Linked DNA regions of Notamacropus eugenii. The protein of the gene in region 1 purifies or fractionates together with the protein of each later gene. This does not show direct contact. Links are inferred from orthologs where the notes say so. Each region holds a gene or a part of one and is shown in the gene's direction. Other genes may lie near its edges. The genes, in order: TXNDC9, tubulin alpha-1A chain and tubulin alpha-1C chain.

What was found.
Region 2: the proteins of TXNDC9 (region 1) and tubulin alpha-1A chain purify together in Homo sapiens (affinity purification with mass spectrometry; 3 studies listed by BioGRID and IntAct, counting the BioPlex papers as one, with this or other methods). This does not show direct contact. The link is inferred for Notamacropus eugenii from reciprocal best matches to the Homo sapiens genes TXNDC9 and TUBA1A.
Region 3: the proteins of TXNDC9 (region 1) and tubulin alpha-1C chain purify together in Homo sapiens (co-immunoprecipitation; 3 studies listed by BioGRID and IntAct, counting the BioPlex papers as one, with this or other methods). This does not show direct contact. The link is inferred for Notamacropus eugenii from reciprocal best matches to the Homo sapiens genes TXNDC9 and TUBA1C.

Annotation. Positions count from the first base shown.
Region 1 is NC_092876.1:406,848,094-406,858,185, reverse strand, and holds the start of TXNDC9 (thioredoxin domain-containing protein 9), read left to right. Parts: upstream 1-6,076; 5' UTR 6,077-6,343; exon of another isoform or gene 6,344-6,407; intron 6,408-6,515; exon of another isoform or gene 6,516-7,035; intron 7,036-8,994; 5' UTR 8,995-9,024; coding exon 9,025-9,213; intron 9,214-10,092. Other genes in the region: EIF5B (eukaryotic translation initiation factor 5B), read right to left, coding at 4,808-4,875. UniProt on the Homo sapiens protein: Significantly diminishes the chaperonin TCP1 complex ATPase activity, thus negatively impacts protein folding, including that of actin or tubulin.
Region 2 is NC_092874.1:221,084,482-221,094,183, reverse strand, and holds the start of tubulin alpha-1A chain, read left to right. Parts: upstream 1-5,018; 5' UTR 5,019-5,320; coding exon 5,321-5,323; intron 5,324-7,474; coding exon 7,475-7,697; intron 7,698-8,005; coding exon 8,006-8,154; intron 8,155-8,601; coding exon 8,602-9,582; 3' UTR 9,583-9,702. UniProt on the Homo sapiens protein: Tubulin is the major constituent of microtubules, a cylinder consisting of laterally associated linear protofilaments composed of alpha- and beta-tubulin heterodimers.
Region 3 is NC_092874.1:221,230,545-221,240,743, forward strand, and holds the start of tubulin alpha-1C chain, read left to right. Parts: upstream 1-5,642; 5' UTR 5,643-5,757; coding exon 5,758-5,760; intron 5,761-8,920; coding exon 8,921-9,143; intron 9,144-9,294; coding exon 9,295-9,443; intron 9,444-10,199. UniProt on the Homo sapiens protein: Tubulin is the major constituent of microtubules, a cylinder consisting of laterally associated linear protofilaments composed of alpha- and beta-tubulin heterodimers.

The DNA of each region.
Region 1 (10,092 bases):
AAAATGGAAAGAGAACTGAATAAGGATGATAAAAATAATATTCCCACAAATAGATATCTCTCTTCAGTGAGTTAAATGCACGTTGAGAAGCAAACAAAGGTACTGTTTGCAGAATTTGGTATACACCACTGGAACAGATCCAAGTCCCACAAATGTCTTCCCAAGTTTCCTCACACCCTTATTCTAGGGTTAATTTCTTATGTCAAACCTTTTATCAGTTCCTCATCTTTCTTGATTTATTTCTGTTAAGGGCACCACCATCCTGCCAGAACTCAGGTTAACAACCTCCACTTTTCACTCTCCTTCACTCCCTCATATCCCATAAGTTAACAAGTCCTGTCTTCTACTGCATCAACATTTGCTCATCTGTCCCCTTCTCTCCATCAGTCCACCACCCTAATTTAGGCTCTCAATAATTTTCATCTGGCCTACTCAGAGAGCTTCCTAATTGTTGCTCCTCAAGGTTCTCCCCTATCCAGTCATTATACACATAATTACTATGCCAACAGATCTGTTAAAAAACTTCAGCGATGCCATATTCCTTGAGGATAAAATACATATTACTTTTTGGTATTTAAATCTCTCAAAAATCTGACACTTGCTTCCCTTTTCAGGTTTATTTACAAATTAATCCCTTTCAGAAACTCTAAGTTTCACTAAAGCATTGCTGGTGGAGTTGTGAATTGATCCAACCATTTTGGAGAGCAGTTTGGAATTATGCCCAAAGGGCTATAAAAATGTGCATACCCTTTGACCCTGCAATACCACTTCGAGGGCTGTATCCTAAAGAGACTGTACAAATTGGAAAAGAACCCACATGTACAAAAATATTTATAGCAGCTCTTTTTGTGGTGGCAAAGAACTGGAAATTGAGGAGATGCCCATCAATCGGGGAATGTCTGAACAAGTTGTGGTATGTGAATGTAATGGAATACTATGGTGCTATAAGAAATGATGAGCAGGCTGACCTCAGAAAAACCTGGAAAGACTTATATGAACTGATGCTGAGTGAGGGGAGCAGAACCACGAAAACACTGTACACAGCTACAGCCACTTTGACAGACTTGGCTCTTCTCAGTAAGACACCTTCAAAAGGCTCAGGATGGAAAATACTTTCCACATTCAGAGAAAGAATTACGTGGTCTGAATGCAGATTAAAGGATACTATTTGCTCTCTTTTTGTTTTGTTTCTTCCTCCTAGTGGTTCATTCCATTGGTTCTAATTCTTCTTTGCAACATGACTAACATGAAAATATGTTTAATGTGAATGTATACATACAGCTTATATCAGATTGCATGCCATCTTGGGGAGAGGAAGGAGGAGGAGAAAATTTGAAACTCAAAAGCTTGTGGAACTGCAAGTTGTTAAGCAAAAATAAGTTAATTAAAAAAAAAAATCTAAGTTCCAGACAGACTGGTCTATAACCTGGTTTTTTATACATTCCCATTTTCCGCACAGGCTAACCTCCATTCCAAGAATGCATTCCTCCTTCCCTCAGACTCTTAAGAGTCCCTAACTTATAAACTAAATTGATACCTCCAATATGAGGTCCTTTCTAATCCTCCCAGTTGTGAGCACTCCTCAATAAAATTACTCTGCCTTTTTATTTACTTTGTATTTAGTTACATGTGTACACATTGTTTCTCACAAATATTATGTAAGTTCTTTAAAAATAGATATGAGAGGGGTTTTTTTGTCTTTCTATCCCTAGTGCTTAGCACAGTGCTTGGCATTGGGTATTTAATACTTTTGAAAGATTTCCTTTTTATTCACAAGGGTGAATAAGCTTAGAATGGCAAACAGCACATTACTAGAGCACCTGTAAGAGTCAAACTACCTACATAGAGAATAGGTTAAATAAAGATACAATTATGAGCTCAACTCTATAGATTACACAAAACTGATGACTGACCATACATGATAAACTGGAGCTTTCTACATTCTTTCTACTTAGTCACCGCCTAAGATGTCAACAGACAGGCCAAACTAGCTAGGAAGCATTCAGGGTCAAGCAGAAAAGGTAAAGTTGTGCTCTATCTTACCACACTTCAAAGTAAAGCGACTTCTAGATGAAACATTTTTGTTAGCTGTGCATAAATTAAATTATTTCTATGTGTAAGTAACTGCCATACTCATTTTTATGTTACTTTTGATGCACAATTTTAAAATGAAATACTCTAAGACAAAATAAGCTACTGAACCTTAAGAAAATCAATGACTAGTAATTAAGTAATGAATACTTACTTTATTATTACAGTAAAATGAAATTCAGAGTGGGAAAAGGCACAACTGGAATACATAAACTGAGAAAAGCCAGCTTTGCTCTGTGAATGACTGCAGAATGTAAGATGTACAACAAAATAAGAAGGATATGTGTAAGGTAAAAATAACAGAAATCACTCTTAACATGTAACAATTCCAGAAAGATAAGGTTGCTTTGTTTCTTTTTATGACCTATTTAGATACAATCTAGCTAAACAATGAGGCACATTGAACTTTGTGATTTGTACGGCTCATTAAAAAAATAGAATCCTACACTTGAATAGGCTCAACATCAAAGAGTCCTGGATGAACTAAAAAGCTACTCAGGGCACTGCCAAAATATGAATGAGTAAAATGTGATATTCTTTCTAGGGGCTTAGAAAGCAGGTTGATTACTTACTGCCTGTGTGATAGTGGTGGGCAAGTAATTTAACCTTTCTGGGAGTGGATTTTGAGTAAATCTGAAAAACAGAGATGGGATTTAAGATGAGATATTCTGTTTCTTCATCTACATGACCTCATAAGTATCTAATCAGGTACAGTACAGTTCTCTCCTGCCAGAAATTTGGTCTTCTAAGATTTAAATGTTTTAGAAGAAATTATTAAAGTGGGAATCTATCCTGTGGATTACAAAGTTACAGGGAAAAAAAGCAGAGAAGTGAACTCATTTTGGGACCAGCCTGGGCCTTCCAAATTTTCTTTCAAAATTTGCATTCCATTCATATGTGAAGCATTTAAACATATTCTAGCACTAAACTGCATGTAAACACAAAAAGCAATGGGAATAACACTCATCAGTGGCTAAAGTTTGCTACTGCAAACTTGCATCATCATCAAATCTTTAATCATACCACCACCAGTTATTTCTGTTAACAATAATTAAAAGATAAACATAATACTAAAGTTTAGCATATTGAGAATCAAAAGAAAAAGACACTAATCATAGTAGCATTTCTTCTGTTCTGGTTTCATAAATGGCCACCTTTCTTTATTATTAGTGTTTCTTTTACTGTTCCCATTATTGTTAATATGGTGGTAACTGAAATTAGGTCCCTTTGTAAATGATATTTCCAACTGGAAAGGAAGGAAAACTTCTACACAACATGTCAGAGACGCAGACTTCTGTATTTTAAACTAACCTAAGTATCACATGGAAGCACTTATTAGACATAGGTAAATATAGCCTGTCTCACTGTAGAGCTGCACACATCCCAAACCTTGTCAGTGTATATATTACTGAAAGTCCTTTTGCTAACCCTTCAAATCGGTAGAATTCTGCATACTGTTCTTTTTTTTGTATTTCATGACTTGAGAGTGGAATCTATCCTCTAAAAGAAATACTCTCTTACAGTTCAGAGCTGGAAACCAGGAGGCAGGATTGCCATCCCTTTGATATCACTACACGTGGTCTTTCTAGTCCCTGAATTCAAAACCCTAAGGGAGAGAAAACCAAATTCATATAGATTTCTAATAATTAATATTCATGGTTGCTTCATAATTTCCTCATGCCATTTCAATACCATATATCTGATTTCAAGTTACAACACTTTTCTAAAAACATCAAAGCTTGTATCTTGAACACAGCAATGAGTGAAAGTCAGTAGTCTCATTAAGTAACCTGTTTTCCACATGCTGCCTCAAGCTGAGGAGGAATTTCATGACAAGGAAAGATTTTTCCAGTGCATCTTCCATAAAATTAACAGACGCAGAAAGGTAAGACCGAGCTCTCCTTTCCAACACCTGGAATGAATGGTGGCTCGCTGCATACTGAAAGACACTCTAATGTTACTTACAAGAAAAGGAAATAATCGTCCCTACGGAGACTCCAGTGACTCCTCTCACGTGGTGTACAAACATTAGCAAAACCTCATACTAACGACAGAACCTTTCTTCATTAAAAACTAAACTCTTAAAGGAGCTGTTATCAAGAAACAATTTCTTTGCTCGGTCCTTCTCTTACCTCCTTTTTGAAGGGGCATTTCATAAGCAACAAAATCACAAAAAAAAGGCTGGTCCCAGAAGGAAAACTAAAAACCGTGACAAGCTGGATAATGAGACCATGAATAAGTTCGCTCTGAGAGGTATCTACACCGGACGATCGAAGGCACAGGAGCGTGTGTGTGACCAGCTCTCTCACAGGAGAAACACTAAAAGCTTGACAGCAGGATGCAAGTGCGGGTAGAGGAGGAGAACCCCATTTCCCTCTTTCCTACAAGCCCAGAGAGGTCCGGTAGAGAGGTACAGCTACGACGGAGAAAGGAAGGAAAGGGCTCGCCCGAGGCCGGCATCCTCCTTCCCCGACGCCGATGGTCACTCTCTCGGAGCCTCCGTGACCCGGCTGACCCCGGCCCACCAGCGGGCCCCACGCCCCTAGGTATCGCCTCGAGCCCCTCTCCACTCCCTCACACCCCCTCAACCACAAGGACTCAATCCCGGGGACCCTCCGCGCAGGTCGGGGCCCCTCCGGCTCCCAAGTCCCCATTTCCCTCCACCCCACCCCCACTCCCGGACCGTAGAAAATAAGGGCTGGGGGTGGAGACTGACCCCGGGGCGGGAAAGGGAAGATCCGGCCCTCCCCTCCGGGCCCGGCCGGCCAGTCCGCCCCAGCACATGGTGGCTTCACTTCGGCGGCCCCCGCCTCCGACCCCGGCTGACCCCGGGGGGCCCCGTCCTCTCCCCGGCGAGCCGGCAGGTGGGCGGGGGTCTCGTGACCTCCTTCCCCTCCTCAGAGCAAGACCGGTCCGCGCAGACCCCGCGCGCCCCCACCGAGCCGCCGCCGCCGCTACCTGTCCTCGTTCCTGTTCTTCTGCTTCTTCCCCATCGCGTGACAATGGCCTTCGCGACTCCAGTACCTTCGTTCAGCCCCTTACTGACCCACAGCCCCCTGGCTGGCCCAGCTCTCCGGCCTTCCTCTTCCGCCGCCGCTTCTCGGACCCGGCTCACCACAGACCCGAACACGGGGACAGGGCACATATGGTATGAACTCGCACAGCGCAGGCGCAGCGCCCCCGCCACCCTGGCGTAGGGACGCAAGGCGTCTCATAGAGTTCTACGTTTGAGGTAGAGCGTCCCCAGACGCCAGCGAGGATCGCTGGGTGAAGAGAGCGCATCCTACCGGTAGGAGTCAGAAGTGCAGAGTAGCGATTACATAGCTGGGTACCTTCCACTACAGAAGCCCCGTACACAGCTGTTAAATCTTTTCTGTGACTGTTCTGAGATGAAGTTCACATAATCCTTCCAAGTCAGTCCAGCCAGCGCTGGAGAGCAAACTTCCGGACGGTTGTTACATCACTTGGAACAGAAGAACTTCTGTGATCCATCTGGTCTTCGTTCCACTGTTTAACGTCTGTAATTCTGTCATTCTGGTCAGCACCACGTCCGACCTTTCTATGGAGGAGATCTAAGTTGGACACTGCACAAGGGTACATGATTTATGGAGCTACTCAATAAAAAAAGCGTATACTGAGCTTGTCCCCCAAAGAGAAAAGGTTGAGGTTTTTTTTTTTAATCCTGACTCCTATCTGGAAAAATAATACCAGAAAATATGTTCAAGGAGATCCATTTCATCTTTGTTATATAGTTTAGTATAGAAAATTCATCGGAGGACTATAGCGAAACGATTCAATAAAGCCAATGGACAACACCCCCAACCCCAAACGACTACAATTCCCAAAATGCCTTGCTCCTCCCGCCGCACCTCATACACTAAGGAGCCGTATTGGAATGCTTCACCCCGGAAGAGAGTCAAGAACCTTGAGCTTATGCGCTTGCCGTAGACAAACCCACCCGAGGCAGTTCCGCCTATCTTCTGGGAAACCCAGAAACCCAAGGGAGACGAGGGGGCGCAGACGAGCGGGAGAGCGCATGCGCCGGCGACGCTCACTCCCTCTCTTCTTTGGTGGCGGTAGGCTCGCCTCGAATGTGGAAAAGAGCCAATGAGGGCTTAGTGTTTGTAACTGGCTGGTGCCCACCCCCGCCGCCGCCGCTGCCGGAGACCCAGAAGTAGCCGTGACCTTCCGCCAAGTGCTCGCCACTTCTCGGGGGAGGGGGAGGGAACCGCACCAGTCGCCGTGATTTCGGGTGAGGTGGGCCTTGAGGCGAGAAAGCTAAACAGACGATACTAGTAGGGCGGCCGTAGCACGCGGTAGGGAACGAAGGGCAAGGCGAGGAGCGGAGGGGGCGGGGGTGGGGAAAGGGCAGAAGAGCGGGCTAGGCCTGTTGGGGGAGGGGCCGACGTCTCTTGTGCGCAATTGCGGACTGAGCTGCGCATGCGTCTTTCATGGCTTTGAAGCCGGGTGCTGGTGGGTAGGGGGTCGCTTGCTCTCCCTTCAGCTGCCCTTTTCCCTTCTTCGGCGGGGGAGGGAGTGGGGGTGGAAGCGAGATCTCGGAGAGGAATCCCAGGTTTTGTGGTTGTTTCTAAAGCTCTCGGGCCTGTCCGCTCCCCAAGACCGTCCCCACAGATGGGAAGTAAAGAAACCCTCAGCCTATTTGGGGACGTGCTGTCCTTCGCCTTGTGCCGCCCCCCCAAAAGCAAATGGGCCAGAGGGATTAGCGATTAAAGCTGGAAGGAAAGCAGAACTGGAGATGATCGTGATGGACTGTACACTTTTTCCTTTTTTTGATGGGAAACAGCACCCGCCCCAAAGCTTTTGTTCCTAGGTTGTAAAGCCCTCGGGTCTTGTGTTCACCGTCCAGTGACCGAATCCGAACAAATTCCAACCTGCAAATCCCAGACCATGCTTGTGCAGGGACTAAACTAGGCCATACTGAAGGTGATAAAAGGCCGCATTTCTCTATAAACGTTTTGTATTGTGAGCAGCTGTTCCTCCCCAGTTTGTCCGAATCAGGGAAACTGTTTAATTCAGACATTTATTAAGTACTTCCTATGGGCCTGACACTGAAAATACAAAGACTAAGGCTTGGGTGGGGGCCTTAGGAAGAGCTTCCTAGAGGAGATAGTCCCCTGGTCTGGGCCTGGAAGGGAAGTGTTTCTCAGAGATAGTGAAAGTGGATACTTACAGGCAGGAGGGATGGAGGGAAGAGAAAGCAAGATGAGATGGAAGAAATAGTAACAATTTGGTGGGAACAAAGTTGCCTTAAGGGAAATAGCCTGAAAGGAGTGTCAGAGTTAAGGATCTTTCTTTTAATCTTAGCCATGAGGACAACATTGTGTAAAGCACACTGGACTAGGATTCAGAAAACCTGAATGTGAGTCCTGGCTCTGCCACTGACTCCCTCTGTGCTTACTCAGCCTTTATGGTTTTCAGTTTTCTAATCTACAAAGCGAGAGTGCTGGACTAAATCACTAACTCATCCCTAAGTTTCTTTCTCCTTCCAAGTGTGAGGACCTTCTGCTGTGATCCTGAGGTTTTGGCACGGGGGAATAACATGGTCAGACCTGTGCATTAGGAAGATGACTTTGCAGCAGTTTGCAGGATCACTGAGAAAGAGAATTAATAGATAAAATTCAAGGAAAAACAAAGTAGGAAGATGTTAAAATAATCCAAACAAAAAATAATGAGAACCTGTGGTGGCAGTGGGAGTAGAAAGAAAGAAATAGAAGCAGGATTAGAAAGGTGAAACTGGCAGGCTTTAGCAACTGATTGGACATGATGGATGAAGGAGAGGGATGAATCAAAGATAATACCAAAAATGTTTACTATGAGATCACATTATAAAGATACCTTTTTTGTCTTTCAGCAAATGATCGTCTTTTACATAGAGCCTAAAGTGAATCTCACGCTGAATTCTGTTGTGTAATGAATTCTATTGTAAAATATACAGAAGCAATAATGCTTATAATGCAGATTATTATCATGGGGAATGTTTATTCGACTAACTGTTCTGTAGCTCTTTTTCTTTCACTTCTATTAGCCAATAGAACGTAAGCTTCATGAATAAAAGAACTATTTCCTTTTTCTTTTTGTACCCCTGGACCTAGAACCACATAGAAGATGTTAAAATGTTAATTGAATTGAATTTTCCTTTATAAAAAATATTGAAACTTTGACTAAAGACCTTCTCCTGTCAGTGCCCCATGACGTAGAGGTGAGAGACAAAGAGATTTCAGGCTCTGGGAGAGCCCTGCCAAGGTGGAAAGCTTTCAGATATCAACAACATACTATATGTCTGTCATCCTTGAACTGGTCTAGCTAATTTCAGAAATTTTATCACAAGATTGGCTGAAGGGTGATGGATTTTTCAGCCAGGGTAATTTTTAAGTTGTAGAGAAGTTGAGATTTGTTTTGGTGGCAGTTGTGCCCATTTTAATGAAATCATGCATCTTTATATTACTATTATTATATCTCAGACAATTCATTTCTAATAACTTTAAAATACAGGCCCCAGTTATTTCAGTACTTTATAACTCTGCTCTCTCAGCCCTTAGATTGTGAACAACGTAAGAGGAAAGACTATGTCTTATCTTAACATTTCCCCAGTATTTCCTCCAGAGCCTATAGTACAGTAGTCTGCATCTATAGAAGACACTTAATAACAGTGTCTTAGTTTTATTATGGGAAAAGAATCTGACTCAAAAGCTTTTTTTTCTAATCATCTTACTTTCTATGAGTACATACTTATGACCTCAGAAAGGAAACAACTAGTCAAAATCACCATGTCAGTTAGCTGTCTGCTGTTCAAACAATGTTACTTGCTGACATTATAGAGAATCTTAAAAAATATGGTTTCACATTAATCATATATTAATTTGTGTATTTTTATTTTCCTAGTTGTAGGAAGTGAACAATATAGTCCAAAAAATGGAAGCTCATACATCTGTTGACATGTTTGCAAAAGTCCTGGAGAATCAGTTGCTTCAGACAACCAGTGTTGTGGAACAGCAGCTGGACTCTGAGATTCAAAAACTGGATCAGATGGATGAGGACGATTTGGAGCGCCTCAAGGAGAAGAGACTGGAAGCACTGAAGAAAGCCCAACAGCAGAAACAAGTAACCTAGCTGCACTGGTTTCTGAAATTACTAAACAGTATGGTCTGAGTACCTTACATTACTGGAGTAGTTGCTGTGGGTTCTCACTTTTAGGGGTTGATAAACTAATATATCTTTGCCAATGTTTGAAATTTGTATGAAGCTAGTGTTTTTTTAGTTTAATTAGTGTAATAATCTGAATACAGTTTTATTTTAATGAGGTCTCCAGATTGGGAACACTTTGTGTGAAATCTAGGCAGAGTAATGAACTGGGAGTCAAAAGACCTAAATTTCATGCATGCTTGCATTAATCCTATTGTAATTTAGCCTGCCAGACTATAAAATGGGAGTGTGAATTACTGAAACTGTTTAGCCAGGGTGTTTTTAAATGAAAGGAGTTTGAGAGCTGTACAGGAAAAATTTTCAGTTATTCCCAGTATAAGGTTTGTCTGAAAGAAAAGTTATCATATATACCTAAAAAGTGTAAAAACAAATCAGGTCCTCAAGAAGAGGTTGAGAGGTAAGCAGCGTGATGGATAGCTGTCAGCATCTCTGTCTTCTAGGAGGTAGGTGTGAGTGTAGGTAAAATGTGTGTTGGAAAGTGAAAGAGCTGAACTCAGATATACTTTAATTTAGGCAATCTACAATCAGTGTTGTAGAACTAAAAGACCCACTGAATGTTCCTTAAAATTCTATGGGTTGCTATTTTATAATTGGAAAAAAAATTTCCATTAAAACACATCAGAACTACTTTACAAATTCTGACTGGTTTTTAGTTTATTGGTACTCCTAATGCTTATTTTTTTCTAAAAACACAGCAAAGGAGTTCACTATTTAAAGAATTCTTTTGTGAAGGGGAAAATTCTTCATAATGAGAAAACTATGCCCTAATTTCTCTGT
Region 2 (9,702 bases), on another chromosome or scaffold:
TGCTTAATAAATGCTTTAAAAGTATGCAACACCCCTTCTGCGCTATTCTGACCAACTAATACTCATTGGTTCAAGTTACTACCCCAGGTTCAAGGTACTCTGTGCATCCACATGGTATTATCTTTACCTTTAAAAGTTTAACCAGCAAACAACCACAGTATGCAAGGGATTTTTCTGGTAGATTTAGTACTTCATTGCAATGCAAGGACTTAAAAACTTCCCAATGGATTCTTGAGGCAAAATGCCTTCCACATCCAGAGAAAGAACTATGGAATTTGATCACAGAATGAAGCAGACCATTTTCTTTTGTATTATGTTTTGTTTTGTTTTATGATTTCTCCCATTCATTTTAATTCTTCTATGCAACATGACTAATGTGAAAATGTATTTAATAGGAATGTACGTATAGAATCTATATAAAACTGTATGCCATCTCAGGGATGGAGTGGGGAGGGAGGGGGAAAAGAGGGGAAGGGAGAGAAAAAAATCTAAGATATATGGAAGTGATTGTAGAACACTAAAAACAAATAAAATAATTTAATTTTAAAAAAAGCTTAACCAGGAGACTCAATAATATTAAAACAAAGCCATTTACTGAGATGGCATTGTAAAAACAGTAGCTGTGAAACACTGCCCTCACAAATCAGGGTCATAGCAAAGGGCTATAATACCATGCATATCCTTTGACCCAGCAATACCACTGCTAGGTCTGTATCCCACAGAGATCATAAAAAAGGGAAAAGGACCCACATGTACAAAAATATTTTGGAAATTGAAGGGATGCCCATCATTTGGGGAATGGCTGAACAAGTTGTGGTATATGAATGTAATGGAATAGTATTGTTGCGTAAGAAATGGTGAGCAGGCAGACTTCAGAGAGGCCTGGAAAGACTTATATGAAGTGATGCTGAGTGAAGTGAGCAGAACCAGAACATTGTACATAGCAACAGCAACATTTTTCGATGACCAACTTTGACAGACTTAGCTCTTCACAGCAATACAATGATCCAACACAATTCCAAAAGATTCATGATGGAAAATGCTATCCACATCTAGAGAGAACTCTGGAGTCTGAATGCAAGCATATTATTTTCACTTTTTTGGGGGGGAGGTGTTTTTTCTTTCTCATAGCTTTTTCCTTTCTGTTCTGACTCTTCTTTCACAACATGACTAATATGGAAATATGTTAAGCATGATTATACATGTACAACTATATCAGATTGCTTACTATCTTGGGAAAGAGGGAGGGAGAAAAATTTGCAACTCAAAATTTTATAAAAAAATGAATGTTGAAAACTATCTTTATATGTAATTGGAAAAAATAAAATACTGTTAAGGAGAAAAAACCAAATTGGGGGAATATTGTGGGCACACACAAAGAGAACCTTAACAGAGAGGCATACAGAGAATACATGTGACCAAGACAACTCATGCTTCTAATACTGCAGGACCCTAACATCATTCCTTTTCTCATGATACTCTTACATTGTCCCACCCTGGGCATGGTGTTTCTGCAGGGCATGTTGCTTTGCTTGGTTCTTGGTTCTCTGGGCCTATTCCCTGCTGTGTGTCTGTGTGCTACTAAGCAAACAGCTCTGCTGTAAGAGATTTTTGTCAGTGGGAGTGGGGAGAGACATCCTCTCCTTCCTATCAAGAGGTAGATCTTTCTTCCATGGTTGCTCTCTTTCCAAATGCCACAGCCCACACTCATCAGAGTTGACACCTACCTTGACTCATTTCTTAGTGTAATTTGATTTTTAAAAGTTGGAGAGGGAGCATGGCCATTCATTCTGCCAGCCAATGCCTAGCTCCACTCTAATTTCATTGAGCTTGAAGGAAAGAGACTCACATTTATTAAGTACCTACTGTGTGCCAAACTCTGTAGAACCCTCCCAGGGAGACTGAGGACTGCTTCCCCAGGAATGAGGGCAGTGAGCTATGTGTCACATGTGGGTTGCTGAGGGATAGAATAGTTTCCAAGTTGTTTCCTACCAGAACTACCAAGTTATGCTTCAAGAATATGGCAATGCAAAAAAAATGGTGGAATCAAATACTTATTGAGCACTACCTATGCCTAGCCCTGTGCCTAATGTTTTGCAGATACCTATGCTCAGGGAAGGACCAGACGACCAATTGTTAGTGTAATTTTAGATATACAAGGTGACTCAAATGGGGTGGATGTCTTGTGAATATTGCAATTTTCCATGTTCTTTTCCATTGTTCTTTTTCCATGCCCTGACTGATGAAGGAATCTTTTCAACTTTGCTAGTCATATGTCATATGTAACCCTCCTTTTGGCTACCCCCTCCAACTCATACTCACTGGCTGGGTTGGGGGACGAGAGACCCCCCCCAACTTCAAGGTACTCTGTACATCCACAGTTCTAAAACTATAGATCATAGGCCTATATCACAGATCTAGGTTATGAAATAGAGATATTTCTTTGGATGTCATTTAAGACCTTAATACCTTATTGCCTCCTTGTACCTTATACTCTGTAACTTCATCAGCTAGGCTAGAGGGAAATCAGGGGCCTCATAATCAATTCTCCTCTCACTGTAATATTATAATAAAAATATTTCAATCATTAATAATGTTGTTATAAAAATCAAGTTAAAACTCACAGAGAGAGGTTCCCTCCTGCTTCACTTGTTCTACTTACAAGCATGAACCATAGAATTTAGACAAAGGAACCTCAGAGATGATGCAGTTCAACCTGCAGATAAAGACAATGAGACCAAGAGAATTTAAATTACTAGCCTAAGTTTACATAGGTAGTAGTAGACACTGCCTGTCCTTAAGCAAAAAACAAAATCTGTTAGTGCAAGTTGGAAACTGGCACCAAAAATTACATAAATTTACACAAATATTTTCTTTTCTTTTGCCACAATCTGCACGTTGAATAAGTGTGATGAGGAGAAGCAAATAGAATAGATTAGATAGTTCCCTGCTCTACCATTTAAATATTTAATAGCCACAAGCCTCACTCAAATGGAGCCTCTTCTTGACCTAGATCTTACTGTTACTAATACGCAACAGAAAGTTCATTTACATAAAGTATATAACAGCTCTGAGATAAATTTACAAAGAAGTCATTTCTATGAATTCTCCCTCCTTTTTATTTAGTTCCCTGTAAACTGCACGAAGAACTGGGAAGATAGTATGGTTATTCATTAATCTTTTGTATCACATAACTAAATCAAATTCAGGGCGGTGCCCCTTTATCCAGACAGGAGACTGGAACTGTACGCAATGCAGTAGTTCAATAGCATTGGAATTTGTCACTCTCAGAATTATTCAAAGAAACACCTGAGCCAAAAATTCAGCGAATGTGTATCCTTTAATTTTTATTCTAATTGTCACTTGCATATCTGGGATAATAGGGGATTCTATAGCTTTCCCTCAGTCTTGCCTTTTCACTAAAACCTAGCTAAAGACAAAGAAATGAAACCAAAATTAGATGTTGAAGTTGTTCTTTTTATAGAATCTCAAAGAAACAGATAAAATAAACTTGTAGTGTTTTCCTATATGTAGAGAATTTGACCTGATGAAGAAAATCTGTGAACTACAAACTAGAAAAATAGCTGGTTGCCTTTCTTAGAATACAACCTGCACCAGCTGTCTCTTTTTGGCCCTTCTTTCTTCTCTCTATGCCACACCCTGCTTCCTAGTCCTTGGGGAATGAATGGGGTCTGCAGAACATTGTACATGGTGACTGGAGATCCAATATGTCTCTGACAGAATAAAAAAAAACAGTATCTGCTCAAGAAGAAAGTATGGTGAGTTGAAGTGAATAAAATAACTAACCTCTTTCCTTTTTTATTTTTCATCTGCATTGTCAAAGTAGTACTAGTTTCAACATTAATTCTGCATTAGCAATATTGACAACATGCCCTTTTTACAAAGCCTCCCCAAAAAAGGAACAGCGATCTGATTTCTGAAAAGAAGCAGAGACTGTCTGGGTTATTTATGAGGCTTTTGAGCAATTCAGAGTCTATTGTTCAAAAGCAATATGTACCTATAATACCAATAGCCAACACACATATCCAAGGCACAACACCCCTCCCCCCCATACATAGCTAATTCATAGGAGCTACAAATTTCAGTGTATTGAGATAACTGATTACATAAATTCCAAGTTGTTCGTTCTTGTCTGGTAAAGTATTCTTTTTTCATCCCACCTCTTGTCCTGTATGGTGGTCTCAGTTCTCCAGTACCTATTATTTTCCCAGCAAATAGAAGAATAAACGTTAACTGTCCACACAGGAGAGATGTCATGGCCAATCATTCTTTTATTTTATTTTCTTCAGTGGTGAATCAGAAAAGGTTGATTTCTTTTAAGATGCAATAAAACATACAAAATATGTTCAAACAGAGTGCTGTTAAAGGAACATTTTCTACTTAAGTAGAAACTATTCCCTTTTCTTCCCATTTCAAAATATGTTCAGTAAGCCTAGATCATTCTCTTATAAGACTTTTTTTTTGGTACAGGTTCCTGTGGAGACTTCTTATTTGGTTCTTAGATTAAATTCTTTTTCCATTTATGCTTGTCCATCATTTTCCTTGGTCATAAAACAAGGCTCAGAAATACCTTGGAATGGTTCGGAAATAAATCTGCAATAAATTTACAGTTAGAGATGCAACTTAAAAACAAATAATCTTCTTTCCCCAGGTCCTCTCAAGCTTCATTTCACTTCCTCTCACACTTCATTTTTAAAGCTTACAAAAAGGTTTCAACCTTCACCCTCACCTAATGGCTATTGCAGTTTATTTCCTAAAAGAGGGAAAGAGGCCTGAGGTCACTTTTTTTGGTTGTTCATTATTTTACTTCAACACAGACATTCTGCTTTTTAAGTAAAGAACTAATCCTCCTACAAAGGTGTAGTTTTGTGGTTTAATCAGTATAAACTCATCCAACCACAGTTTTCTTTTTTTCCCCTTCTTCCACCCCCACCCCTCTCCTGCCACTCCCTATGATGGATGCTTGCTTGGCTAACTGCTTTGCTTGGTCTCTTTGTCTGAAGGATGCAAACAGTCTATGGATGCTAGAGAAAAAGGGGTGGGGAAGAGATTACCTCATCCCATGTCGTGTGCACCAATCACAATTCTCTGGTCTTGGCTTCTCCGGGCAGATTGAGGGGTCTGGACCAACTGGAAAAAGCCCTAGCCCATCCCCATGGTGACAGAATTGTATATAGGGAGCTGTATTGGACCATGTGCAGTAGGTTCTCTTACATCGACCGCCTAAGAGTCGCGCTGTAAGAAGCGTCAACCTCTCTTCTTCTTCTCACCCATCGACAGCAGCCGCAAAGCAGCAATCATGGTAAGGTTCCCGATCTCCTTTCTTATGTCCTCCCTAGGGGATATTAGCGCAGTGAAGGTTGTTGGTGGTGCTGCTTGCGAACCTCAAGTCCATTTTCTTTGCAGCTTCTTAGGACAGCTGCTTTGTTTGTGCCTGTATCAGATTTCTTGCTCTTAAGCCTTAGTACGCAGACATGGCGGTGCGGACCAGAATTGGGGGCAGGCGGCCGAAAAACCAGAAGGAAGAACAAAGGAGAAGGGAGGGGTTTGGGAGTAATGGTTAGCGACATTTCAGTGCCGCATAGGGCTGGTCACTGCAGGCCATCTGTCTGGGATGATGCAATGTCCTGAGGCTGGGAACCGGCGATAGTTCCACTGCCTCATGTATATTTATGTGTTCGTGTTACTTTCAGTCTGGCTGCTCCCATCCCCCTCCCCTTTGACTGCAGTGTTGGGTGGGGCGGGAGTGGGGTGGGGTGCGGGGGATAGGGACTGGGTCATTGGAGAGACTAAGCAAAGAACAGGGTTTATAAAAACCAAACCAATAAAAATGAGAATATGTCACGTAAAAAAAAATACACATTTCCCCCGTAAAGTGCTAGTTTCTGTTAGTACTTTTGGTAGGGGGAGTAAGGGTGGAGTAGAGGGCGGAGTCTCGTCGGGTTTTGTGTGTGTGTCTATCTCCTTGGAATCGCTATGCTCTTGAGCAGGAAATCTTTATTATTATTATTTGTAAGGGGGAAAAATGTCTTTTAATAAATTTGATTAACAATCACATAAAAGTAGGCTTTTTGAATGGCTGAGAGGATTGTGGATTTTCTCCTCCCCACCCAAAGATAAAAAATAAAAAAAGTTGCGAAAGGTCTGGGGAGATAATCTCAGTTCAGCCTGGCAAACCCCAAGGGTTTACTGCCTTGACAACTCACCCAGAGTGAACAAGATGCTCATTTTTCAAGTCAGGGTAAAGTGCGGTCCTTTCAGGACCCTGGGGAGCTGTCCTGTCTCCTCTTCCACCCCAGCAAGAAATCAAGTCAGTGAATAGACAGTAGAATGGGTGCCCTAAAGAAGATCGAGACAAAGAGAACTCTCTAGTGGATGTGATCAGAATATTCCACAGAAGGCAGGATATATTGAAATGCACCAGAAATTTGAAACAAACCAAACCTTGTGAGATCTTGGTGGGTTGTTAGGCTTTTTTTTTGTTCTTTTGATGTTGTTTCAGTTTGGGAAGGATTCAGGAATTCTGATTTTGAAAGGCTGTCTTTTTCTAAGCACTTGCAGAGAAATGTTTGGAAAATATTACATGGAGAAAATTAAAGACAAAACAATAAAATACTGAGGTCGACAAAGAAGAATTACATCTTTCTAGTTTCCTCTTTTCTGGCATATAATATGGAGACCACCTTTTGTTCTGGTGTCACTTCATTGATTCATTTCAATTATTCACACACAGGGTCCCAGAAGGAGTCAGAAGAGAACTGGCAAAATAATATAATGAGATCATGCAGCCAGTTGCTGGAATTAGAGATGGCTATGTTAAATAATACAGTAGGTGCAAAGCAGACACTAGGCAGAAAAAATGCAGCAATGCAGCAAAGGGACAGCTAGCTTTTATTGATTTTAGCTCTGATTGGGTCGAGTGCTCCCAGATTGGGTGTGGTCTCCCCTTTTCAGCAATAAAGCAGATGGCTATATTGAAATATCAAAATCCTGCTAAAATGGGGGTCCTGCTCTTAAGGAGAAAGGGGTAGGGTGGAAACTAAGCTTTCTTAGATCTTGGGAAAATATTTCACTTAAGAAAAATAAAGTGTGGTAGACCAATTATCATGTAATCCACAATTAAACTGAAATCCATAAACCTTTGACTTGTGTTTATTCTCTAAGAAAATATTTCTAACATTTCCACAAATTATTATTTTTATATGATTTATTCACAGTATGAACAATAGATTTGGACAATGTGCTGCTGCAGCCAACACAAAGCATTGTTCAGGCCACGCCCAACTATAACCCTTATAGCAGATTGCTTTCTAATATGTATATAATAAATGTCAATTTCACAGGTGAACTTGAAGAATAGAAATATATTTTTATAAAAATAACAGAAAAGTTATATATCTTAATCAAGTCTAATTTTACAATTTCTTCTAATTTTTTTTTTGTTTTTATGCAGCGTGAGTGCATCTCTATCCATGTTGGCCAAGCTGGTGTCCAGATTGGCAATGCTTGCTGGGAGCTGTACTGCTTGGAACATGGTATCCAGCCTGATGGTCAGATGCCAAGTGACAAGACCATTGGGGGAGGAGATGACTCCTTCAACACCTTCTTCAGTGAAACAGGAGCTGGCAAACATGTCCCCAGAGCAGTGTTTGTAGATCTGGAACCTACTGTCATTGGTATGTTTAATTACAATTCCCTAAATCCTCTTGAAATTTGAAACTGTCAGTGTCAATTTATAATGAACCAATCCTAAAATTAAACTTTTATTTTGTGTAATTCCATTTGTCTGAGATGAGACTATTTATAGGCTTCTTTTCAGTTTCTGACCATGTAAAATCTTGAGGAAAACTTTTAAAATGTAACAAATATCTCCTTTTGATTGTTGACCATTTGTCTTTACCTTAGCAGTTAGTAAGAGAAGACAGAAAGACTCTTACCTTGGTGATTTTACACCTTTTTAATTTTCTTTCTTTCTGTCTTTCAGATGAAGTTCGCACTGGAACCTACCGCCAGCTCTTCCATCCTGAGCAACTGATCACTGGCAAGGAAGATGCTGCCAATAACTATGCCCGTGGGCACTACACTATTGGCAAGGAAATCATCGACCTGGTTCTAGACAGGATTCGGAAGCTGGTATATTTCATCTCAAAATGGTTTTGGGGGGGAGGAAAGAAGAGAGGTGGCTCCATAACATTAAAAAAAGCTCAAGTATAAAACAGAATGAGGTGATTGACTCTCTAGGTTTTCTTTTTATCAGTATTATAGACACAAAGGGGAGAAATAGATTGAATTACCATTATCATTTTATAAAAATTAAAAGTTTTTCAATTGAGAAAAATGCTAAGTAAATACAGCCAAAGAGAAGTACCAGGGGAAATTAAGACCATGTGAGTTCCCCACATCAAGGAAATTACCTATCTAAGCACCCTGATCCCCAATAGAGATAAATAACAGAAAAATAAACATTTTTAGAATCAGATCTGTCCCTCCAAAGGAGTAGACATAGTCCATTAAAATGCCTTCTTATGTTTACAACATAACAAGCATCAATGATCTGTTTCTTTGTTTCCTTTCTAACAGGCTGATCAGTGCACAGGTCTTCAAGGCTTCTTGGTTTTCCACAGCTTTGGTGGTGGGACTGGCTCTGGTTTCACCTCTCTGCTGATGGAACGTCTGTCCGTTGACTATGGCAAGAAGTCCAAACTGGAGTTCTCCATTTACCCAGCCCCTCAGGTTTCCACAGCTGTAGTGGAACCCTACAACTCCATTCTGACCACTCACACCACCCTGGAGCACTCTGATTGTGCCTTCATGGTAGACAATGAGGCCATCTATGATATCTGTCGCAGAAACCTTGACATTGAACGCCCAACCTATACTAATCTGAATAGGCTGATAGGTCAAATTGTGTCCTCCATCACTGCCTCTCTCCGATTTGATGGTGCCCTGAATGTTGATCTGACAGAGTTCCAGACCAACCTGGTGCCCTATCCCCGTATCCATTTCCCTCTGGCCACATATGCCCCAGTCATCTCTGCTGAGAAAGCCTACCATGAGCAACTTTCTGTAGCAGAGATCACCAATGCTTGCTTTGAGCCTGCCAACCAGATGGTGAAATGTGACCCTCGCCACGGTAAATACATGGCTTGTTGCCTGCTCTACCGTGGTGATGTGGTTCCCAAAGATGTCAATGCTGCCATTGCCACCATCAAGACAAAACGTACCATCCAATTTGTGGATTGGTGCCCAACTGGTTTCAAGGTTGGCATCAATTACCAGCCTCCCACTGTGGTTCCTGGTGGTGACCTGGCCAAGGTACAGCGGGCTGTGTGCATGTTAAGCAACACCACAGCCATTGCTGAGGCCTGGGCTCGCCTGGACCACAAATTTGATCTGATGTATGCCAAACGTGCCTTTGTCCATTGGTATGTGGGGGAGGGCATGGAGGAAGGAGAGTTCTCTGAGGCACGGGAGGATATGGCTGCCCTGGAGAAAGATTATGAGGAGGTTGGTGTGGATTCTGTTGAAGGAGAGGGTGAAGAGGAAGGAGAAGAGTACTGAAGTATCACAGAGATGCTGCTTTACAGGGAATCAAATGTTTTCAAACATTGATGAGTTTTTGGTCAATCAGTTAATTTGTACATAATAGTATACACTTCAATGTACAATTACTGATCTATT
Region 3 (10,199 bases), on another chromosome or scaffold:
GCAACTGAAATTTACTAGGAGGAGAAAGGGGAGAAAATGTTTAGACCTACTCTTTAGATAAATCACTTTGGCATATGATAGAAGGTGAATTGGAGTAGAAAAAGGCTTGAGACAGGGAGACCAATTAGAAAGTTATTGCAATAAGACTAGGCAAAAAGCAACGAGGCCCTAAATTATAGTAGTGGTTGTATGAGTGGAAAAAAGATGCCAGTCATATGAAGAAATGCTGTGCAAGTATAAATGACAAGATTTGACAACAAATTGTACCTGTAGAGTGAGTCTGAGCGAGAAGTTAAGAATGATGTCAGGGAGGTCAAGAACTGGAAATTGAGGGGATGCCCATCAATTGGGGAATGACTGAACAAGTTGTGGTATATGAATGTCATGGAATACTATTGTGCTATAAGAAGGGATGAACAGGAAGACTTCAGAAAAACCTGGAAAGACTTAAATGAACTGATGCTGAGTGAAGTGAGCAGAACCAGGAGAACACTGTACACAGTAACAGCAACACTGTGCAATGACCAACTTTGATAAACTTCCCACCAATACAATGATCTAAGACAATTCTAAAAGACTCATGATGAAAAATGCTGTCTACATTCAGTGAAAGAACCATGAAGTCTAAATGCAGATCAAAGCATATTATTTTTTTCTTTCTTGTGGTTTTCCCCTTTTGTTCTGATTCTTCTTGCACAACATGGCTAATGTGGAAATAAGTTTAATATTTTGTTTAATATTATACATATACCTATATCAGATTGCTTGCCATCTTGGGGAAGGGAGAGGGGAAAGGAAGGGGGAAGGGAAAGGAAAGAGGGAGAAAAAATGGAACTCAAAATCTTATAAAAGTGAATGTAGAAAACTATCTTTACATGTAATTGGGGAAAAAAATAGTATTAAGTAGGAGGAAGAATGATGCCAGGTTATGAGCTAGGAGACAGCAGAAGAATGGTGGTACCTTAGATGATAATCAGGAAGTTCAAATAACTCCAGGTTTTAGGGGAGAATGAAAATAATTTCTGTTCTGGACATGTTAAATGTAAGATACCTTTACAACAACCAATTCAAAAAACTAGATAGGAGCTCAGGAGAGAGACTAATGCTGAACATATAAACGTGGGAATCATCTACATACATGATAGCTGACCCCATGAGAGCTGATAAGGTCAAAGAGAGATAGCATGAAGGAAAAAGAGAAGAGGGCCTAGGGCAAAGTCTTAGGGGACATCAACAAGTAGTTTTCCAGAGATATTTTATTGAAAAAAAATCAAGACCATTTGCCACCCTCCTCATATCACAGTTCCTTGACATTATCCTCCATTATTTCCTCATTTCCTAGGTTATGTGAGGTCATATCAATTCTTTTTTAGAGAAAGGAAGGAATACTTTTCCCAACTATAATCAAGGGGAGAATTCTTACACAAACAAGAGGATAAAAGTATTGATAAAAAATAAAATAGACAATTATGATAACATAAAACTGAAAACATTTACACAAGTAAAATAACAGTGTAATAAAGATAAGAAGGAAAACACGCAGGAAAATATCACTCCAACAAATTTTTCTGATAAAGGTCTAACATCCAAGATTAAAAAATGACTGATAAAAATACATAAGAATAAAAGCTTTTCCCAAGTAGATTAGTAAGCAAAGGAAATGCATAGTCTTGGATAAATCAGCATGTATTCAAGTGAATGGAAGACTATCTTAACTATATGAAAATGTTCCAAATCTCTAATAACAGAAAAGTAAATTAAAATAACTCTGAGGTTTTACCGCACACCTACCAAGTTGGCAAAGATAAGGAGAATAGAAAATTGCTATTTTGGGAGGATTTGTGGAAGGAAAGACAAATTTTGTACTGTTAATAGAGCTGCAAATTGGTTCAATCATTCTGGAAGGTAAGTTGGAATTATGTCCCCAAAGTCACTAAACTGTATATACCCTCTGATCCAGAAATACCACTTTTGGATATATCACCTAAGGAGGCCAAATATGTACAGAGGAAAAGACTCGTGTGTTCAAGAATGCTTACTGCAACACTTTTTGCTCTAGCAATGAACCAAAAACAGAACACATGCCCATCATTTAGGGAAGGTATGAAAAAAATGTGGTATATTAATATAGCATGGTACAAAACTACACCACAAAAATTTAATGTGATGGGTTCTAAGGATTCTAACAAATTAAAAAAACTAACGTGAAGGGATGCATGGTGAAATTAGCAAAACCAAGAGAACAACTTACTTGATGACCATAATAATACAAGGAGAAAGTCTAAAAGATCTCAGAACTCTAAGTAAAGTAATGCCCAGTGACAATTTCAAAACACTGATGATAAAACTCATATTTCTTGGCAGAAAGGTGATGGATAAGAAGTATAGAATCAGATGTGGATTCCCAGACATGAGCAATATGGTCATTTATTTTGCTTGACTACAGGTTTCTACTTGGAGAAGTAAGATACGGTAAATTAGTTCATAAAGATAGATATGGAAAACAAAGAACATCAATAAGATATTTTTAAATGCACAGAAGAAAAGAAGTACAGAGACATAAATAGACCAATTATATTTACTACCTCATATTATCATTTTTAAAAATTGTACATAAGAGAAATTCAGCTTTTTATCCAAGACTTTCTTGTCTCTTGTATGTTGAAATGTTTATATTTGTTGATGATTAAGTTCACAATAAAAAATAAAATTTTAAATAAAAGAGAAAAGAAACAATAGTCACAACTTCCAGTAGGAGGCAGCAAGTTTAAATATGGTTACTAGTTATTACTATAACTAATAATAACTAGTAACTAATTACTAGTTATTTTTGCTTTAATAAAACTTTTAGCATCCAAAATCTTGAAAGCTGCCTTCCCATCAGGTATGTACAAAACTTAACACAGAAACAAACAGAAATGTTTTTAGAATGAAAACCCAAAAGGAAGAATTGCTATAAAATATAACTGTAAATCTATTTGACCTATAAGAATAGGGACTGAATCTTCAAGTTCATAAGCATAAGAAAGGAAACATTTCATTTGATCCACAAAACAACCTTGGGAAGTAGGTCCTATTAGTATCCTCATTTTACAGTTGAGGAAACGAAGATAGATAGAGGTTAAGTGACTTGCCCAGGGTCACACAGGTAGAATTTGAACTCAGGTCTTCCTGACTCCAGGCCTAATACTCTACTTACCTACCTCATCAACTAACTGCCAGGTGAGAAAATTCCCTCTTCCACTGAAGTACAAGTTAGTAAGAAGTCAGTGATGTTAATATATATAATTATATGTTAATATATATAATTTATAACTCATATATGTTATATACATACATACAATGTTAATATGTATAATTAATATATGCCTCTTATTCCTTGACAAAGAAATGATGAACTAGAGATGTACATTCTCAAACTGCCACTATATTCACCTACTTTGCTTAACTATGGGCTTCTATTTAGAGAGGTACAATTCACCCAGTCTTAGAGAGTTGCCCAGAACATTGAGAGATTAAGTGACTCCGCCTGAGGTTACAAATGGTCATTAGGTGTCAGAAGTGGAACTCTTCCTGGCTTCCAGGGTAGCTTTCTACCCACTATTCCATGGTGACAACTCTTATCATTTTTCCTATAACTAAGTTAAAGGTCTACCGCATTTGGTGTTACTTGGATTTAAGGATCTCAATTATGTATATAGTATGGAACAGTATATAGATGGAACAATTTTAATATGAATTCCATAAGCATTTTAAATGCTGCTCACCTTTTTTATATCTACTTTTACTTCAGTTAAATTCAGCAAGCATTAAAGCATTTACTATGTGCTAGGCAGAATGTCAAGCATTCTGAGCCTAGAAAAGACCAAACTCAAAACAATTCTAGCTGCCAGAGATCTTACATTGTAAGTACTTTTACTTTTTCTCTGGATTTATTTGATACCTTTTCTATTTCATTTTACCTGTCTAAAAAAAGGCAAGCATTTAAGAAAATGAAATTTAGCAAAGGTAAACATTTTTGAAAAGTAAACATTTAGGAAAATGTTCCCTAAACAACAACCAAAAAAAAAAAACCAACCCCACCCCAAACCCTACTGGTTAGTGATTGCCACTTAAGTAGAAATAGTTTGCACTCTTTGAACCTGTCTCTTTGCCTGTAAAATGAGGGGGTTGCACTAGGTGATTGGAAAAATTATAGGATATTATGGTTGGAAGGGATTTGAGAGATCAACCAGGCCTTCATTCTCTCTGATTGCTTCCATCTCTAAAATTCTGTTAACTACTCTGCAAAAACACAAAACACTTTTCTGTGCACTGCATTTTTTCTACAGCTAGACACTTCTCACATTTAAGGAATTCATTTATGAGTTTAAAAAAAAAAATCTCCCAAGAGAAAGAAAACTGGTGGGGTAAAGAAAGAAAAGAGAATTCTGATACACAAAACATTTAAAGAAATAAAAAAGAAATTGTTTGCGTGGGAGCACCAGCAAGAGGTTTTAGCATCTTCTGGAACGTGATGATACAATGCTTTGTGTTACAAAAGGGGCTTTTTTAAAAATAAGGAATTGGAAGAGCTGTCAGAAAGGTGTGAACTTGGAATCTTTAAACTACCTACCTCCTCATCTGACAATTGTAGAAATGAGACTTCTGAAAATAGAGCCGAAAGGCCCTGTTTAAGCTTTTTGTACCAAATGGTTTCTCTAAACAGCTTTGCTCTTTGCTTAACAAAGCAGCAGAGAAACTTACAACTCCAAGTAAGGATCCTGCAGCAGCCAAGTTCGCAGCTACAATGGCTGGGTCCTACTAAGGGCCTCTACTGTACTAGTCCACTTCATACAGGGAAGTAAACAAGGCAGCTTCCCTTTTTAGTCCAGCACACAGAGCCGGCTCTGAATGAAAAGTCAAAGCAGCCAGACCATCTGCAGGGCTGTGTTTTCTGAATAAACTAGTCACTGGGAAACCTTCCCCTAGCTGGCAGGGCGGCTCTCAGAGATTACCTTGTAGGGAGTTAGGAAAATGTTCACTGGCTCGGAGCCAAGGGAGTGGGCCGAGCAGTGAGTCAGTGGAGGCCAGAAGCAGGGAGGAAGGGAAAGGTGATGGATGGAGAGGAGAGGGGCTTTTTTTTCCTCCAGCTGTTTCCAGTACCACATGGCTCCCCTTCTCCCCACCTTCATTCACCACACTCTCTCATCGTTTGGCTTACTTCCTTTTTTAAAATTTTAAAACGTATGGCTCTTTTCCCCCCAAATTATCTCACCTACTCACTCCCAGCCCCCGTTCTTTTTCAACCACTTGATGCTGTTCTTTCCCCCTCTCTTCCCAACTCCCCAGATAAACCACTCTCTTCACCCCAAACTTTCCCCCCACTCAAGGATCATCGGGGTTAAACAAACTTCCTCCTTCCCTCCCCCACACCTCAGGTTTCTTCCAAAAAGGTTTGGTTTGAACTTTCGAACTCACCAATGAGAGTCCGAGAGGAGGGTGGGGTGGCAGGCACCGGACGGGGTGGAGTTTGGGATGGAAGCAGGGCGGGGAGGGTGGAAGAGAAGCTAGAGAAAGGAAGGAGGGGGTGGGATCAGGTCCTAGGGACTCCCTCCAAACACGTGGTCCAGGAAGGGCTATATAAAGCCCCTCCCGTGAGCCCCGCTTCTCACTAACTTTTCTCCCGGAGACTTCCTAACGGTCGGTCGGTGAGAAACTTGTGTCGTCCTCCTTTCCATTTCTTCTTAGCGCAGCGGACCCCTGCACACCTTTATCATGGTGAGTGTATGGGGCCCCAGCCAGCCGGCTGCTCCAGGTGCTGGTGGAGAGCGCGGGAGCTGAGGGCCGGGACACTTAGGGTCATGTGACCAGGAGAGGGGCTAGGAGCCGGCGTTGGCCACGTTTACGAGGGAGTAGAGTGACCAGAGGGGCCCTGGGACTTGGCGGGATGGGGGCGCACGTGGCACCTTGGCCCCTTGGAACGCTTGGGGGAAGATCTCCCGCGTTGGCCGTCTGCCTCCTGGGCTGCGCTCCTATAGTGCTTTGAGTGCGTCCTGGGGATGGAGAGCGTAAAGCTCCGTGCTTTGGGCCGTTCGGAAATGAAGCCACTGGTTCTCCCTAACTTTATCTTCTAGGGACCAGAATTATAAACAGCTTCCGTACTTGGAAGTGGAAGTGCCCACAGTGACAAGGGGGGATCGATTTGTCAGAGAAAACTTGCCCCAAAGTCTGAAGGACAAGTTTTAAAATTAGGTTTAGTAAAGGGGATGGTCCGTCTGATTCGTAAGATGTTTCACACTCTTCTGAGATCGACTTTAAAAAGCTTAAAATACTTTGCATTTCTCTTTTTCTCTTCCCATCCCCCACGATCAGAATAAGCTGGTCTTTCTGTAGCAACCAAATGAGCCAAATTGAAGATAAAGATTGCTGCTTGTGGTCTTGGGAGGCAGAATGCGCTCTGAAGTGTTGAGCCCCTCCCCGACTCCCTAGGTCTATTTCCCTGTGACTTGGTGCTGAGTCACTTTTACTGAAGGAAGTAGCGAAGTTCGGGGTAACAATGTTTCCCATGGCTTAGGCAGAGTAGACGGGGGAAATGTGGTCACACATCCATGACGGAGCTTGTGCCCTAGACAGATAACTAGTGTTAACGTGTTTAATCCTACTTTTCTCACCTGTTCGAAACATGTGGAGTGGAAACAAGTACTTGAAGAAGATTCTTAAAGGGTGTTTTCTTGTAAGGCCATTAAGTAGCCGATTACAGCGATAACATCCCATTTTTCAAACGTTTGAACTATACTATTGCTTTTCCAAAGGAAAATCACGTTAAAGCTTAGTGGTTGAACAACTTGGGTTGTTGGAATGAATCTTTAAATATTATCCAGAGCAGTATAGAGAAAACTAATCCCCCAAAGAGACCACTTTTTTAACTTGTATCAAAATAGCGTTTCTGAGAATAAGTAGGAATGAAAGGAGTGTGGTCTCTAATTTTAACATGTTGTATGTTAAAGAATATAGGGTACTGCTATAAAAAACAGGCCTGGCCTTGGTTTTATTAGGGAAATGACTGTCTTACTGGTAAGGATAGGCTTATCATGTGACCTAACTTTTAATAACCAATCACCCTCCCCCCAGGTAGTCATGGGAAGGTGAGTCTTTTTGACCTTGTCAGCTTTCCCAGGAGTTTAGCAGACAAGATGTGTGAGGAAATTTCCCAAGGAGGCTTACTTTCTTTCATAATTTATAATTTATACTGAGTAATAACCTTATTGAGAGGGAGGGAATCATCACAGACATAGTCAGTTTTTGTGATTATGAGATCAGATAGTAGATAGGCTCACTTGAAAAGGTAAATAAAGGTTTGCCGGAGAAGAGAATGTTATAATTATTTATGAATCAGGAGGCCAAGGTTCCAGTCTAGGCCCTGCAACTAACTAGTAAGGATATTGGATGAATCATTTAACTTCTCTAAGCTTCAATTTCATCATAGGTGAAGCTGTGAAAGGGTTGCTCACACTGTCTGCATACAGTTGTGTGTATTCTGATTCTATGATCCTTAGTTTTTTTTGCCTGCTAATGTAATCCAATGCCCTCATTTATCTTAGATCTTCTAACTAGCATGTCATGAGCTGTATGATTTTTCCAAAGTCCAGTTAAGTTACCATCATGCACCAGTAAATAGTCATGAGCTCATTAGAACAAACAGTCACACCGCCTACAGCTGGGCAAGTGGGTACAGGTAATTTGGGGCCTTGACATGGTCAGATAACTATGGTTTTATGAATAATGTTAGATTGCTAGCTGGGAAGAAATGATCATAAAGCAAAGGTTACAAATGATAAGGGTGTTTAAATTCCTAGTTAGAAGTTAGGATACACAACCTGTAATAACTTAGAATTTAATTTTTTTCTATTCACTCTTGAGAATTTTGAACATTCCATTAAAAAACCTTGGAAGAGGAGCTTTTATTGTGTAAGAGAGTTTGGGGAAAGTACAGTGCCAGATCCTTAGATAATCTAGTTTATAATGAAGTATCCCCTGTAGAGTTGGACTAAAAATCATTTTGATAAAGACTCTAATTTACGCCATACCACTACTTGTATAAATGTGTAATAGGAAATGTTTTTCTAAATACTTTTCAAAAGAATTTTTTTTTTCCGAGAGCTAGATATGTTTATTTTCCTGGGGAAGTCGGTGATAGTCAGTGCCCTGTGAACCAAGGCCTGCCTGCTGTAGACTTTCCAGAAATATTTTTGGGGGGCAGAGTGGATTCTTCTATTGAAAATAGGAAAGCAAAAAAAAAGAAAATTCTTTTCCATAAGTTGGCAGAGCCAAAGTAAATGCTGCAGTGACCATAGATGAAGTCTTCTACAAGGTTAAAAAAGCTGCCTCTGACCAGATTTTAAAATATAGCTAGTCTGCTTATCTGGCAGTTTCTTTGAGTCATGTGGTTCTAGCTTGCTGCTGGTTTAAGCTGGTTTTTAAAGGAGGAGGGGAGAGAAGCTCTGGGGTTTAAAGAATAGGATTAAAGTGAACCCAGAATGATCTGAAACTGAAGTTACATAATCACACAAAAAGCACGAATACAAACTGAAAAGGGGAGGGATTTTTTTTAAGCAGTTTAGGAATGACGCCTTACTCATTTCCCTAGAATAGAAGGAAAATAGTTTTGAATAGAGCTTTGGGGATATTCTAAAATGGCTGGCAGGTTCCTGACTTTGATTCAACCCATGTTTGTCCCTAGATTTCTTAGGTCATGAATTCTCATATGTTTCCCCAAAAGAATTATCTCTGAATTTGGTTTGTAGTGCACTTAAACTTCAGGTAAGGTAGGTATGTCCTATGGAGTGGTTGTGCTGTAACTTAATTCATTACTTATGTAGATATGAATACATTAGCTATCTGTTCCACCTGGCTCATTTGTATTCTTGGTTTTCTGCAGCGTGAGTGCATCTCTATCCACGTTGGCCAGGCTGGTGTCCAGATTGGCAATGCCTGTTGGGAGCTGTACTGCCTGGAACATGGTATCCAGCCTGATGGGCAGATGCCAAGTGACAAGACCATTGGGGGTGGAGATGACTCTTTCAACACCTTCTTTAGTGAAACTGGAGCTGGCAAGCATGTTCCCCGTGCTGTGTTTGTCGACCTGGAACCAACTGTTATTGGTGAGTTCAATTTACATTTGCAGACATGCAGATGAAGGTGAACATTCCTAGTGATGGTTTGTTTTTTTGAGGTTTTTTTGTTTTTAGTACCCTTGGTTCTTAGTCGGAGTTACCACACTGTTAAAGCAGGGCTGCTTTTTTATTCCTCCAGATGAAGTTCGAACTGGAACCTACCGCCAGCTCTTCCATCCTGAGCAGCTGATCACCGGCAAGGAAGATGCTGCCAATAACTATGCCCGTGGACACTATACTATTGGCAAAGAAATAATTGACATTGTTCTGGACAGAATTCGGAAACTTGTGAGTCATTTAATAGTAGGGTGATACCATAGCATAGGGTAATACTCTTAAGCTCTGAATTAATAAAATTAATCTAATAAAATTTAAATCTAATTCAGGGAATCAGATGGAAATTCTATTAATGTGCTGTCTTATATATGCATGAATAACATGTTCTCCTTAGCGAAACAGAGGAGGTAATTAAGTTGTGTAATATGTCACCTGAATATAATTGATTGTACCAGCACTTAACGTTAAAACTTAGGAGCTGTAAATGTTAAAGTTGAGACAGCATTTAATCATTTGGAAAAATGGCTATTGCCATTGTAAGCATTTACTGACTGATAGCTGCTAAAACTTTAGAGGACTTTAGAAGTCATTAATTATGTAGGCTTTATGTTTCTGTCAGTAAGACTGGGGGTCCTCTCCCAGTCCTTTTCAGATTCAGAGGACCTTTTCCTTCTTGAATTAGTGTGTGTGTGCGCGCACCGCGCGCTCTGATTTTGCTCAAGCAGAACTAAGTTAATACCTCTCTCACTCAACATATAAACTAAACTGCAAGTCTTCAAGAGCAAATCTGAAGACACAGATAGAGGACTGTAAACCTGTGGTCTAGAAAGCCAGTGTCTTCATTTTATATAGTGTCGCTGGGTGGCTACACTAGCCTTTAGATGAGGGCATAGATAGTCCCTGGACTTCCTTGTGTCTTTTGATATACAAGTCAGTATTCTACCAAATGAAGTGCCTATAGATTGTCTAGAGAACTCCTTTGAGAAG